2 linked regions of the Caenorhabditis elegans genome follow. The protein of the gene in region 2 interacts with the protein of the main gene of each other region in a pairwise test. Each region holds a gene or a part of one and is shown on either strand. Other genes may lie near its edges.

Region 1 (8,218 bases), on a different chromosome or scaffold from region 2:
TCAGTAACACAATTGTTAAACTAAAAAAAACAAGGATATCTCTACAATAAAAGTGAGTATTTCAGAAAGAAAAAGAAAACAAAGGCGACGACAGTGACACCTCTGAAGACGAATCCGAAGATGAAGATGCCGAAGAAGAGAAGAAAAGAGAACCAAAAATGCACGCTGTTTCGATTCCTCACTATGGTGGTATTAACCGAATTCGTTCCGATCGTCTTGGTGACAGTACTGTATGTGCTTGCTGGAGTGATCAAGGACGTGTCCAGGTGTGGAATATCACTGATGCATTGAATTATACTCATGGAATGAGCGGAGAGTCGAAGACTGAAGTGCAAAAGATCGATCGACCCTTGTTCACGAATAATGGATCTGGAAAAGAAGGATATGGACTTGCTTGGTCTTCATTAAAAACTGGAGACTTGGCTACTGGTGATATCATCAAAAAGATTTATTTGTGGCAAATGAAGGAAGGAGGACAATGGGCTGTTGGAGCTAATCCATTAACTGGACATAAAAGTAATTTATTTAATTTTGATCTGAAAATTCCAAAAATTGAAATGTGTCTCCTGAATGGCGTTTGAGTGGTTTTTTCTTGAATAGATTGGAAAAAAACAAAAATCTGAATTAAAAACTTGTCTTTGTCGCATAAAAATTTTTGAGCATTTTTCAGTACATATTCCAATATTTTTCAGAGAGTGTCGAAGATCTTGCATGGTCACCAACTGAAACTGGACTTCTTGCTTCATGTTCCGCGGATGGAAGTATCAAACTATGGGATACACGTTCTGCTCCAAAAGATGCCTGCGTCTGTACAGTGCAAAAAGCTCATGAATCCGATGTTAATGTTATTTCGTGGAATCGTCACGAAAACCTCATTGTTTCTGGTGGTGATGACGGAGAGCTGAAAATTTGGTCTTTGAAAACAATCCAATTCGGTCAACCAGTGGCACTCTTCAAGTATCACAATTCACCAATCACTTCAGTCGACTGGCATCCACATGAAACAACGACATTTATGGCTTCCGGTGAAGACGATCAGACAACAATTTGGGATATTGCAACTGAAGCAGATGGACAAACGAATATCGAAGGAGTTCCACCACAGCTGATGTTCGTCCATATGGGTCAGAATGAGGTCAAAGAAGTTCACTGGCATCAACAGATTCCTGGATTGGCTATCAACACTTCAATTGATGGATTTAATGTCTTCAAGACTATTAATATTTAAGATGTCTCCCTGTTATTGCTCCCTGTTTGTTTTTGTTGCTGTTTTTCTCATCTATTCAACATTGTTACTGTTCATTTTTTTTCGTAACTTTTCTGTTAACCAAAAAATGCTTTAAAAATGTCGCGTTTTCGTTGAAAAACAAAAAAAAACATTTTATTCTATAGAATCTAAAAAATTAGGGACTGGGAATGTATCACAAAATATAACAAGAAAATTCACCATTTCAAGACTTGAGCAACATTCGTCTCAACGGGCCTATAGTCCGTAAACAGAAGATTACGGTAGTTTTTATCAAGTTTCTCCCATTCCTCTCGAACTTTTATCCAGGTTTCTTCATCATCTTGTCTGGGTAAATCTTCATATAATGCCTCGACTTTAATCAATTTCTCTTCTCTCTCATCCATTGTCTCGTACCGAATCTGACCTCCACCATTTGCACATCCACCCGGACAAGCCATAATTTCCACGTAATCTGTCTTCTCCTTTTTCGTCTTCATTTTTCGAACCAGATTCTGCACATTTCGAAACCCGTAAACCTTGGCAACTCTTAAAAGAATTTCTCCAGCTTCGGATTCTACAGTCGTGGAGAACATGTTCTTGTTTCTGAAAAAATGAAATATTACATTATTTAAAGTTATTTATTCCTACAGTTTTGATGTTTTTACAATTCCTCCTCCATTTTCCAGCACGAAATCTCGAACAATTCGATCAGCATATCCTCCAGAAGCACCACCATCGTCACCAATAACAGATCCTGAAACATTTCAGTATTGTGTTTTAAGGGAGGCATCTTTTTTTATTTTGTTTCGTTTCTAAAGATTACTGTAGAAAATTTACGATATGTTTTTCAGCTCCTGCTCTGTTCAGTTTCATGTTGTATTTCTCGTAAAATAAATGTTTTCCACAAGTTGGAAAATATGGTTTTGTCGCCAATACCTACCGAGACCCATGGTTGGGAGGCGGAGGCATTGTAGCGCGATTTTAAAAGAACCAACGCCTCGAAAATTTTCAAAAACGGCGAGAGAAAAATATTTGAATTCCCCAAGAGGAATTTCACCACAGCGCGTGCAAAAATGTCTGCATTTGCGCGTGACGGTGTTTGCACAAATTACACCGAATGGTCGAGCTGAAAACACGTGTCCTACAACACGTGAAGAGAAATAAAAAAATCTACACGTAGAAAAGGAGTATTCAAAAGTTTAAAATTTATTCCTCAAGAATAAGAGCTTGAATTCAGTCACTCAAGAAATTGATTGTGTAACTGATCAAGCCTGATTTTTTTTGGGATGTAAGTTTTATTAATTTCTGAGAATTTGACTGAAATTATTTTCAATTTCAGAATATTATTGGCGCAGACTGTTTCTGTTGGGTGCAAAGCGAAGGCTACAAAACCAAAAGCAGCTGCTCCGAAACCGGTAAGTATAAATAAGATTTTATAAGCTGAAGATGTTCTAAAATTGAAATCATTTCAGATAAGCTCAAATCGACAATCTCGAAAGTTGTCCCACCAGCTCGTCCACCATCACGACCAGAAGATTATGAGATCAACTGGGGACCTAAATGCTGTTAATTTTGAATAAAATCGGTTAAAATACAAGTCGTTGTTTTTTTGTCTTTCAGCTCTCAAATCCGCCGCAGCTTCTTTGTTTTTCTCGAATTTTCAAGTGAAAAAGAGGTTTTTATGTCTACAGTGGCGTGCTAAATTCTGTAGAAAAATTCCAGATTTTTGGTAACTTTTGGTATTCTCTACATAAAGTTTTTTTCACTAAAAAATTTGAGGAAACCAAAGGATTTGCGTCGAAATTGGAGAATTTGAGCCTGACTTTAAAGAAATAAAAAAACCACAGAAATTGTTATTTCTTTTCAAATTTACCTTTAGAAAGAGCCGATAACCATTGCTCTTCTTCTGATCTATTTTCAACATCTCCGGCTTCGTCGTTTTCCAATTTGATAATTTCTTCTAACAGTTCAGCAGTACTTATAACACAATCAGTCTCTCGAACATCAGTTCCATCAACTTTAAATTGTTCTCTCGATGCCTCTAATTTCTTATCAAAACATGGCATTACAGCTGCATGGAATACATCACAGGGGCTTAAACCTTCTCTTTTTGCTAGAAATCCTTTGATAATTGCACCACTTATAGCTTGAGGTGATCGAATTTTACTGATTTTAGGGATTAAAAGCTCTCCGTGACTTTTTTCAGCGTAGCACACAAATCCCGGACAAGCAGATGAAAGAAGTGGTCGAGATGTTGATGGAGTTGTTGAAAGTTCTTCATATATTAAAGAATGTGCAAATTTCCGGGCAAATGATGAATCAATTACGTATTTGACACCTAGTCTTCGGAAAAATGAGGCAATTATTTTCGCTACTTCATTTGTTGATTTTCCAATTTTCACAGCAATAGAAGTGATGGCTTGTGGAGAAACAGTGACGACTGAGAGCTTTGAATTTTGAATTCCTTCATAAACTCGTCCAAATGATTGTTCTTCAACAAGAACTGTTTCAGCACTAGTGATACATCCACTACATGCCAGACAATCAGCTAACGAGATTTTAACGGATTTCTTTTCTTCTGTTTTAGAAGATTCTTTGTCTTTTGGTTTTTTGGTACGGATATTCACTTGTGATTCTTCTTTTTTCTTTTCCACAGTTCTCGTTTCCAATGGGATTATGCAGTCCTGAAAAATTGATACAATTTTACAGTAATATTCAAAAAATAAAAGAATTTCTGGTCTCGACACGACAGAAATAAAATGTTTAATGAAAAAGTGTGTGCGCATTCAGAAAGTACAGTAGTGTCCACTCTTTGCAACTTTCACTTATTTTTTGAAAAACTGGTTACACAAAAATAATTTTTTAAAAGGAAACAAGAACAAAAAAACTACCGTACTTCTTAAAGGCGCACGTCGTTTTTATGAATATTTATTTGGCCATGTCGAGACCAGGTACCGTTTTTTTCTTAAATAAAAACTAGCTAAATTAGGCATTTGCATAGATAAAATGTCTCCTCGAGGTGAAGTTTGTATGTATGTATTTATTTTATCTTGGAAATGTTCAGTTTTTGATTGAAATTTTTGACTATAGATTTATTTTAAACATTCAAAATCGCTGGATTATCTTTAATATAACTTGTTTTGGATTTATTTTTATTAAAATTTACCAGAAATTTCAGAATTTCAAAAAAAAAACAATTCCTGACAATACAAAATTGTAAAACGAAATTTAATTTCGAAAAAAATCAGAACATTTTCTGAAACGTTTTTTAAAAATTCGAATTAAAAACAAGAATATAAACTTCTCACAAAGTAGTTATACTTTAACTTTTTAACTTTTGAAACTGGAGAATTAACAGACGTCATTTTTTAAAAAAACTCACCAAATTCGGAGCAATAAAATCCGAAACATTTGAAAGTCGAACGACACCACTGAATCCAGAATCTTCCATAAAACTTCTGGAAATATTTTTAATATTATCTGAATAAGACAATTAAAGATACAGTGACGTCAAAGACGATTGAAAATCATCCATATTCGTAGATTCACAAGAAAAAAACAAAAATTATTTTATTTACAAAATCCGTTTCATTATTATTCACTAATCGAATATAGATCATTGATTCCTTCGTCAAGCCATTTTGATTGCATTGGGGTTCCGATTTCATAAAATGGATTTGAGATAGTATTACAATAATGTCCATGGAATCGTTTGAATATCAATCGAATCTCCTGATCTTTTAATGAAGCTGCTGAAGTTGCGTCAAGAACCAGAATCATACGGACTCCTGTGTTGGTAATGTAGCCGAATGACTGAAAAATGAAGATATAAAGTAGTTTTCAGTCAAATATTCTTTACCCTCCACTTTTGATCATTATAAAGTTGTCCCAAAAACATTTCCGATGCTTTTGTTGATTTCTCATCTACAATATCCAATGAGCAGAATGTGAACATCTCGATTTCAAGCAATTGCTGTGCGTAACGTGGATTCACCGAATCGAATAGACGGGAATTCTGAATTTTTCTTTTACGAGGAGGCAGGACAGGCCGAAATGATCGTCAAAACGCGCTCCACGGTCAATTGAAGACGCTCCGCCCCCAAACGATGGGTCTCGTTAGGTATATGGTGGTAGAACCGTAAAATCAAAAAAACAGGGGCGGAGCATTTCCAATTGGTCGTGGGGCGTATATTCACATCGACCCGTCTTCTTGCTGCAACCGGTTTCGAATTTAAAAAAAAACGCATACCTCTTTAGCATAAATGAAGAATCCGACGACGCCAAGCATACTGAATTTAAAAATTTATTTTTTGTAATACTATTTTTTCTCTATTGAGAATATTAATCATATTCAAGTATTTTTCAGCGATGTTTGATGTACCACACACGTATTCTATGACGGACAGCGTTATAAAATAACTCTCAATTCATTGGTAACCATAAAGAAAACAAAAAAAGCACTCGAAAAGTTGAAACCAGAATAAATAAACGAAAAGAACAATGATTATACTTTGCTGGAAATGTAAAAAGGCAATACAAAAATTTAGATAAACATTCAATTATTCAGTTGCGCTCGCTTCGAATTTTGGATATTTGGCCTGAGCATCGGACCATTGTTGACGGCCAGCGACAAGATCAGAAATGAGTCTTCCGAGTTCTGAGACTTCTAATCGAATCTGTGACATTGTTTCAGCGTGGCGGATGGTGACAGTGAATGGAGTGGTCTTCAATGAATCAAAGTCAACAGTGATTCCGAATGGAATACCAATCTCATCAGTACGTGCGTAACGGCGACCAATGGTGCCGGAGCTGTCATCCTGAAAAAATAAAATTTAAATTTCCCGTTCTAAAAGCACTTTATATCAAAACTATAGTTCAAACTCACCACTTTGTAACTCATCTCAAAGCGTGAGAGTTCCTCCTTAACGGCATCCATAACTGGAATCAATGTGTCATTGGCTGAAATTGGAAGAACTGAGCATTTGATTGGTGCAACTAATGGCTTGAAAGCCAAGAAAGTCCTCTGTTCATCTCCTTCTCTTTGTCTGAACGAGTGCTCGAGAAGAGCATACATAATTCTTCCGATACCATACGATGGTTCAATAACTGATGGAGTAATCTCTTGTACGTGAATCTTTTTCGTGTATTTCTTAATATTCAGATGCTCTGGGGTCAACGCGTAATTCTGGCCGTCCACGCTGAGATTGTACAGCCTGAAAAATTTATTTTTAAATTGTAGAATTATTTCATAATCAAAACTCACTTCTTGGCGAGAAGCTCTTCTTCAAGAGCCGAGACTTGTTCACTGGTGAGTTGTTGGAGCGATGTTTGAATTTTCTTAGCGTCCTTTTTGAAGCTCTTGCCCAGCAAAGCCATGTTGGCTTGTGCCTCGACAAAATTAACATCGACTGGCTCTGGGAGCTTCTTCTCGGCAACCAACTTGACGTTTGTTGCTTTGTAATGTTGTTGGAGATCGTAGCAAGCTCTATCAGCGTTACCAACACATTCGATCCATCCATAAGAGGTCAAGATTTCAGCGTCCCAGCAGTCTTGAGCGTAGTGAGCCATTTCGTTTGATAAATGTTGGCGGAACCGGAGACGACGTCCATCAATACCAACCTTCATGAGGAATTGATGACAACGAGCCATGTAATAACCGAGTGTCTCATTGGCTACAGTTTTCTATAAGATTTAAAAATTGGATAAACTTTTGAAAAATGAGCAACAAACCTTGGCAACAGCCTCGCCAATAGCAACTTCCTGAGCTGGAGCACCGTCTAATTGATTGCAAGCCGAGAAAAGAACAAGCTTTTGATCAGCAACCTTTGCAAATTTTGCCAAGCTCTTGTCTTCTGGGTCGACAAAATGCTCAATTTCGCACATTGTGAATTCACGAACACGAATGAGACCTTGTCTTGGAGAAATTTCATTTCTGAATCCCAATCCGATTTGTGCAGCAGCGAATGGCAATTTTCCTTGGTTGAACTCCAAAAGTCGTTTGAAATTCACAAAGATTCCTTGAGCGGTTTCTGGTCGAAGGAATGCTTTGAAGTCACCAGTTGGTCCAATTTGAGTTGGGAACATCAAGTTGAATGCGATTGGTTCGGTGAGATCATTTCCAGTGATCGGAGACTTGAAATTGAATCGAGTGATCACTTCATGCATATCCTTATTATCGAATCCTTCAAGACGCGCAAGCACATCCTGTCCGTCTTGTTTGACTGCAGCGCTAGTCTTTTTATCCTGAAAATCGAAATATAGAACGGAAACTTCTTTTGAAAACTTACATTTAACAACTTCTCAATGCTATTCTTGATCAAATGATCAGCACGGAAGCATTCTCCATTCTTCATATCCTTCACCATCCAATCAGCAAATCTGTCAACGTGTCCAGAAGCTTTCAGAACTGGTTCAGGAGTGAGAGAAGTACAGTCAACTTCCAACATGCCCTCTTCAAGAATGAAATGTTTTCTCCATTCTTGGAGCATATTAGCCTTCAAGGAACATCCCATCGGACCGAAATCGTAGAGACCAGTGACACCACCATAGATAGCAAATGATTGATCATAGAAGAATCGTCTTTTGAGAAGATCCTCCAATTTCAGACGATCGAATGATGCTTCTTTTGGTGCCAAAGCAATTTCTGTGTCTTCAAGAAGTCTCTTTCTAGCCTTCAATTCAACAACCGCTTTATCGATGTCGATTTTTGGAGCACCTTTCGCCTTGAGATCACGGATCAGATCTCCATACTCTTTTACTGCAGCACGAAGAGGGGCGAGTTTCTGAAATTCGAAAATGACTGAAGCCGAGCGTAGAGAGAATGAAATACCGCTTCAATTTCCGGAGTAGCCATTTGCTTCAAATAATCCGATATTTTTTGCCTGGTTTTCTTCTCAAACCGCGGTGCGACTACCTTTCTGGGTTGAAGTGGAGTTTTCCGGTCACTTGGGACTAGTTCAACCTGCAAAAGCGATATTTTATAGAAACGGT
Region 2 (6,014 bases):
GATGTCTTTTAGTTGTTTCCTAACCCAATTTTAAGTTTTATTCGATCAAATCGTGTTTCTTCCCCATCCTTTGTTGTAGTCAATTACTAATATTTGAATTCGCTCTCACTCCGGCTAACCATAATTTATCTGTGATATTCGTGTATTTTCTTCTTTTCTTATAATTTTTCAATTGTTCTACTTGTTTCTAGAAAATGTTTGTATGTCTGGTGCTCATATGAAACGATCGAGTACAAATTATAAATTCTTTTTTATACATTTTTCAAAACTGTTTCAAAATAAGACTAGCATTTGTGGCACCGAATCCAAATGAATTACAAATTGAGATTCGCGATTTATTTCCGGAAACATCAGACCATTTTTGATTTTCGCGGAGAAGATTCAATCCATTTCCTTCCTGAAAAAAACACATTTGAAAAAAAAGCTCAAATTCCCATGACGCTAAATATTACGGTACAAGGTCTCGGCACGACAATTTTTTGTTAAATACAAATTGGTGTGAGCCTTTAAAGAGTACTGTAATTTCAAACTTTCAGTGATGTGGACTTTTCATAGTTTTTCTGATTTTATTTTCTTTATTTGATAAATAAATATCATTCCTTTACGAAAAACTATTGGAAAATTACAAAGCAACATAATTTTGAAATTACCGTACTCTTTAACTGCGTATTTTACAAAAAATCGTTTCGAGACCATGTACTGTATTTTTGGCGTCTGGGTGATACAGTAACCATACATCAGTTTCTTCTAAATTTCGATTCGCTGGTAAAACATCATCATTCATTGCAAAAATCGTTGCAATTGCTTCAACTGATCCAGCTGCACCAAGAAGATGTCCAATATGTCCTTTGACACTGCTCACTGCAATATTTTGTTCTGGAAATACTTGTCGTACAGCTTCTGCTTCTACACTATCCCCATTTGGTGTTGATGTTGCATGAGCATTTACATATCTGGAATATGAGAGGCAATATATTTCGATTTTTTTTGTTGAAAAATTTAATTTTCGATATGTTTTGGTTTTCAAAATCAATCAAGACATTTTTTTAATATATCGAAGTTATCAATTTCAGTTTTTCGATCTTTTCTTTTATTTTTATTTACATGATTTTATTCGTGTAATTAATTTTTTTCGATTTTGTTTTAATTGGAATATTTCAGTAAATACGATTTTCAAAAAAAAAACAATATCGTTTTGCAATGATATGTTTTTCAAAACTTTTTTTTTAATTTTAAAACTATCCAAAATTTGAAATTGTAATATTTTTTGATTTTTTAATTGAAATATTTCAGTTTTCATGATTTTCAAAAGAAAAATAGTTTTGCAATAACATTTTTTAAAATTTTTTTCGATTTCAAAACTATCTAAAATTTAAAAATTTAGTTTTTTTCCAATTTTTAAAAACTCAGTAACTTCAGTAACGCTGTTATTTTGGAAAATAAAAAAACAAACCCAATATCTTTCGGCTCCAAATGTGCATTTCCTATCGCTCTGTTCATTGAAAGAACTGCACCAATTGCAGATGGATCAGGTGTAGAAATATGATAACAATCAGATGATATTCCATATCCAACAACTTCAGCTAAAATCTGTGCTCCACGTGCCTGTGCATCTTCTAGTCGTTCCATAAATACTAATCCAACACCTTCACTCATTACAAATCCAGCTCTTTTCTTATCGAAAGGTCTACTAATATTTGGTTGATCACCTCTTGCCAATGCTCTCATTCTATCAAAACCAGCTAGAGCAATTGGATTGAGAGCACATTCTACAGCTCCTGCCAGAGCTCGTCGAGAATCTCCGTATCGAATAGATCGAAATGAGTTTCCAATGCAATGAAGTCCAGTGGCACATGCAGTTGATGTTGATTCTACTCCTCCACGCATTTTATATCTGAAATGTTAGAGTTTAGGATTGAACTTTACATTGGTTTTTGGAAAAGAAAACAATTAAAAATTTAGTAGCGCCCGGTCGCAAAATTTTGAGCTTTTCAAGCCAAAAATGCGATACCCGGTCTCAACACGACCAAATTTTAGTTAAATACAAAAATGTGTGAGCATTTTACTGAAGATTACTGTAAACTTCAATTTTTTTCATGAAAACTAAAAAAAACAACAAAATTATAAAAACTTAATAAAAAAAAAAAATTTTTTTTAGTATTCCGGAAGTTGAGAATTTACCAAATTTCCGAAATTTTTAAAAAAATTTAAGATTACAGAATTTTTATTTATTTTTCATATTTTTTTAAAATATAGTTAATTTAAAAATAAATATTCTAGTTGAATTGAAAAACTATGAAATTCAATTAAAATTTTGCAGCAACTAGAGACTTTAACTACAGTACCCCTTTAAGGCGCGCGTGTCTTTTCGCAGTGAACATAAATTTGTCGTGTCGAGGCCTTGGAGCGAAAATCGCAAAATATCGCGTTATTAAAAACGAACTTCATTGCAACATATCCAGCTGGAAGATTATTCAAAATTCGCGGAACAAAGTATGGTGACACCCTTCTCGATTGTCCTTCCGACACTTTTTGTGCAGTTTCTCCAATATGTTCTAGATCTGACATACATGTTCCAATATTAACTAATGTTTCATTGTGATCGACATCTTCAGCTTTTGCCTGTTTCAATGCTTCTTCTGATGCAGCTAACACGAACATGCTCGCTTTACTCATTTCTCTTTGTTGTCCAGTGCTCCACCGATCTTCCACCCGTTCTCCAGGAACTGCACCGACGACAAATTTGAGAATTTCATCGTATTTCAAGCCACTTCTTCCCTCGTTCAAACCGTTTCGTAGTGCATTAACGGTAACACCGAATGGTGAAATTGCACCCATCCCTGTTATAACAACACGGTGCATCTCAAAATTTTTATTTATTTTTAATTTCATTTTCCTTTAAATAAAACAATAGCTCTGAAATATTGATGAATTCAAGAATCGCTTTTTAAATGTTCAAACATTATGAGGAAAACATTTAACATTTATTTTTGATGATCTAAAACTCACAACATGGAAACAAATTAGGAATCCTGGAGGAAAAGAAGTAATCAACAATGCAACATACGAAAATTTAAACAAGCTTTGCCTTAACTTTCTCAGCAAGATCCAAAAACGATTTTGCCAGCGTTGAATCTGGATTTGTCTCGAAAAAGTCTTCTCCATTGTCAAGAGCTTTTGCAAGTGCTGGTTCCAATGGGAGTTGAGCTAGAAGCTCAAGATTCGAATCTTTGCACATTTGCTCAGCTCCGCCGGTGGATGTTGGGAAGAGGAGAGTTGTATGAGCACAGTTGGGGCATACGAAACGAGCCATGTTCTCAACAACACCAAGAATCGGGACTTTAGTCTTGACGCAGAAGCTGACCTGAAAATAAATTGTTTATCATAATTCTGAAGATGAAATCAACTAATACAAAGACGCGAAGTTTTGCGATTTTTTCTCCAAAAATACAGTACTCGGTCTCAACACGAAAACTGTTCGTTAAATAAAAACTGGTGTGTGCCTTTAAGAAGTACTGTAATTTCAATTTCTCGCTGCTTCGGAATTTTTGTTATAAAAAAATGCAAGTAAATTGGAAAAAAATTATGGAAATTCCGAAGCAACGAAAGTTTTAAATTACAGTACTTTTTAAAGGCGCACACTTTTCGAATATTACAACAAATTTTTCGTGTTGAGACCGGGTACCGTATATTTGGCGTTAAACTTGCAAAAACTTCGCGTATGTGTAATAACTGACAGTGAGTATCAAAAATTTATTCTGAAAACTCTTTTTCAGGGAAAGTTTCAAATTTAAACTCGCCTCTTTTCTGACATCAAGCAATGAAACTTCTTGCGGAGTACTGACAATCAATGCACCATCCAATGGACCTGCTTGCAATAAGAATTGAACAAGAGAAATATGTTCATCAGATGTTCCTGGAGGTGTATCAATCAGCAAATAATCAACCTCTCCCCAATCGACGTCTTTCAGAAATTGCTTGATCATTCCGTTCTTGCGAGCTCCACGCCAAATCACAGCATCGTTCTTGTCACCGAGCAAGAAAGCAATGCTCATCAGGGTCAGATTTGGCTGAATTCCGACAGGAGTCCATCCATCTGCACTGTTATGAACTTCCTCGTCCTCAACTCCCATCATTCTTGGTTGAGATGGTCCACAAATGTCCACGTCAAGAATTGCAACTTGTTTTGATGGATCAGAGGCAAGGGCTCGAGCAAGATTCGATGTGAGAGTACTTTTACCGACTCCTCCTTTTCCACTGAGAATCAGAATCTGTAAAAGAATTTAACAGCTGAAGAATATTTGATAGTAAAGACTAACCTTATGCTTAATTCTGCTGAACCTATCCTGAATCTTCGGCACATCTGCGTCTGGTGGTGGTCCTTGACCAGTAGCACAAGACCCCTGATTTGGACATCCAGCACATCCTGAAGCCTTACCAGCTCCGGCACTTCCAGTTCCCGGGCATCCGGCGTTAGCGTCGTCAGGTACGTCAGACATTTTTTTTTCTGAAAATCGATTGAACAAGAAATCGATTGAACCATTGAGATAATGTGAAACAAAAAGACGAATAATGAGACAATTTTTTGAAGATAACTGGAATTGATAACGTTTGAAAGATTACAATAGATATGAAAATAAAGAGAAAAAGAGAAAACGATTAATGTGATCTTTGATTTTTATTTACCAGGTGAGTTTGATTCACAGGGAAGATGATGACAATTACGAAATTCAAGTAAATATACAACTCGTCACATTCAAACTTTGAAAGAATATCGATTAATCCTGCTCGTTAGGTGAAATAATTGCATGAAGAAAAGAGTGTAAATTTTTAGCTTTGATTGGTCCGACACCAGGACATGCAGAAATTGATGTTTCGGAAGCTGTTGAAATTGCTTGAAGAGTGCCGAAATGGAATAGAAGACTGAAAAGAAAAAATATTGTTCGAGAGAGAGAGAGAGAGAGAGAGAGAGAGAGAGCGTTCGTGGAGCGCGTTTGCATTATTATTTTTTAAGACACTACAAATTTTCAGGAAACTGAATTCCTAAGATGCTTATTTAAATTAGTCTAACTTTATTTATTTTAACAGAAAGTACAATAAGAGAACACAATAACTAGGTTAAAATTACCAAACAGAAAATTTCAAAACTATATCCAAGTAATCTTGTTCAATTATGAGTCATGACAAGGTACCTTAAGGTATCTTCAACTGATTTTTAGGATAAAATTTCACTTGTGTTTTGTTGTTCTCTTACCGATCCGCATCTGTTTTTGTGATACTTCTAGCCGCGGTCAGAAATCCAATGGCAGCTTCTCGATTTCGTCGGCGTTCATCACTCATCGAACTGTCCCCTCCATCGTCAATCGCCTTTTTTCTGAAAATTAATTTTTATTAATTTTGTTATTTCTCAGAGTAAAAATAATTTCGGAGGTAATCGCTTCGAGACCAGCTACGCTGAGAGCGTATAAGACTTTGAAGTACTGTAACGTTAACGATTTTGGTTTTATTTTACGAGCTATCTAACGAAACGAAAGTTTTTTTGTTTCTACTCTGGAGGAAATACTATACTTTTTAGTTAATTTTTTTCGACAACTCAAACTTATTGCAAATTCAATTTTCTACACAATTTGTGTCAGCTATTCTTAACCCTTCCTTTTCTTTCCGAAAATTCTCCCAATTGTTCATCACTTTTCTAGTTTTCTTTCTACTCGGGGTCTACAAAACCCATAAAATTATCCCAAAGTGCTTCCTTCGCCCACAAATTGCTGTTGCTCTCCCAACGTACATAACACAGAAAACGTTTGTTGAAAATAATAAAAGGACGGCCAGATGGGTGTGACGAAGGATAAGCGCTGGTAGAATGCTCATTTGCTGCTCAGTCAAATTTTTACTTGTGGTCCTAGGTCTCATCATAAAATAAACAAAAAGTCGCACAGATTTTCGAAAATTTTAGCCATCTCTTTTTTGGAAGTTTGTGAGCATTTTACACTGTGTTGATTTACGCAGCGTGTGTA

What was found. Proteins that work in one complex are often made in the same cells at the same time.
Region 1: the proteins of nubp-1 (region 2) and oxy-4 interact in a two-hybrid assay, tested with the Caenorhabditis elegans proteins (one large-scale study listed by BioGRID).

The regions. Positions count from the first base shown.
Region 1 is NC_003281.10:5,154,089-5,162,306, forward strand, and holds oxy-4 (putative cytosolic Fe-S cluster assembly factor oxy-4), read right to left. Parts: upstream 4,687-8,218; 5' UTR 4,680-4,686; coding exon 4,611-4,679; intron 3,913-4,610; coding exon 3,102-3,912; intron 2,799-3,101; coding exon of another isoform or gene 2,701-2,798; intron 2,644-2,700; coding exon of another isoform or gene 2,568-2,643; intron 2,517-2,567; coding exon of another isoform or gene 2,346-2,516; intron 1,983-2,345; coding exon 1,877-1,982; intron 1,832-1,876; coding exon 1,444-1,831; 3' UTR 1,372-1,443; downstream 1-1,371. Other genes in the region: grwd-1 (Glutamate-rich WD repeat-containing protein 1), read left to right, coding at 66-516, 693-1,228; T10F2.5 (Trafficking protein particle complex subunit 2-like protein), read right to left, coding at 4,823-5,041, 5,088-5,243, 5,478-5,516; gars-1 (Glycine--tRNA ligase), read right to left, coding at 5,788-6,045, 6,114-6,441, 6,492-6,910, 6,959-7,471, 7,516-8,010, 8,058-8,189. UniProt on the Caenorhabditis elegans protein: Component of the cytosolic iron-sulfur (Fe/S) protein assembly machinery. Required for maturation of extramitochondrial Fe/S proteins.
Region 2 is NC_003279.8:10,044,935-10,050,948, reverse strand, and holds nubp-1 (Cytosolic Fe-S cluster assembly factor NUBP1 homolog), read right to left. Parts: upstream 4,508-6,014; 5' UTR 4,500-4,507; coding exon 4,320-4,499; intron 4,272-4,319; coding exon 3,801-4,271; intron 3,365-3,800; coding exon 3,074-3,364; 3' UTR 2,972-3,073; downstream 1-2,971. Other genes in the region: F10G8.8 (PH domain-containing protein), read left to right, coding at 1-1; F10G8.9 (beta-ketoacyl-[acyl-carrier-protein] synthase I), read right to left, coding at 263-397, 737-953, 1,454-1,894, 2,444-2,862; ercc-1 (ERCC1-like central domain-containing protein), read right to left, coding at 4,779-4,923, 5,255-5,374. UniProt on the Caenorhabditis elegans protein: Component of the cytosolic iron-sulfur (Fe/S) protein assembly (CIA) machinery. Required for maturation of extramitochondrial Fe-S proteins.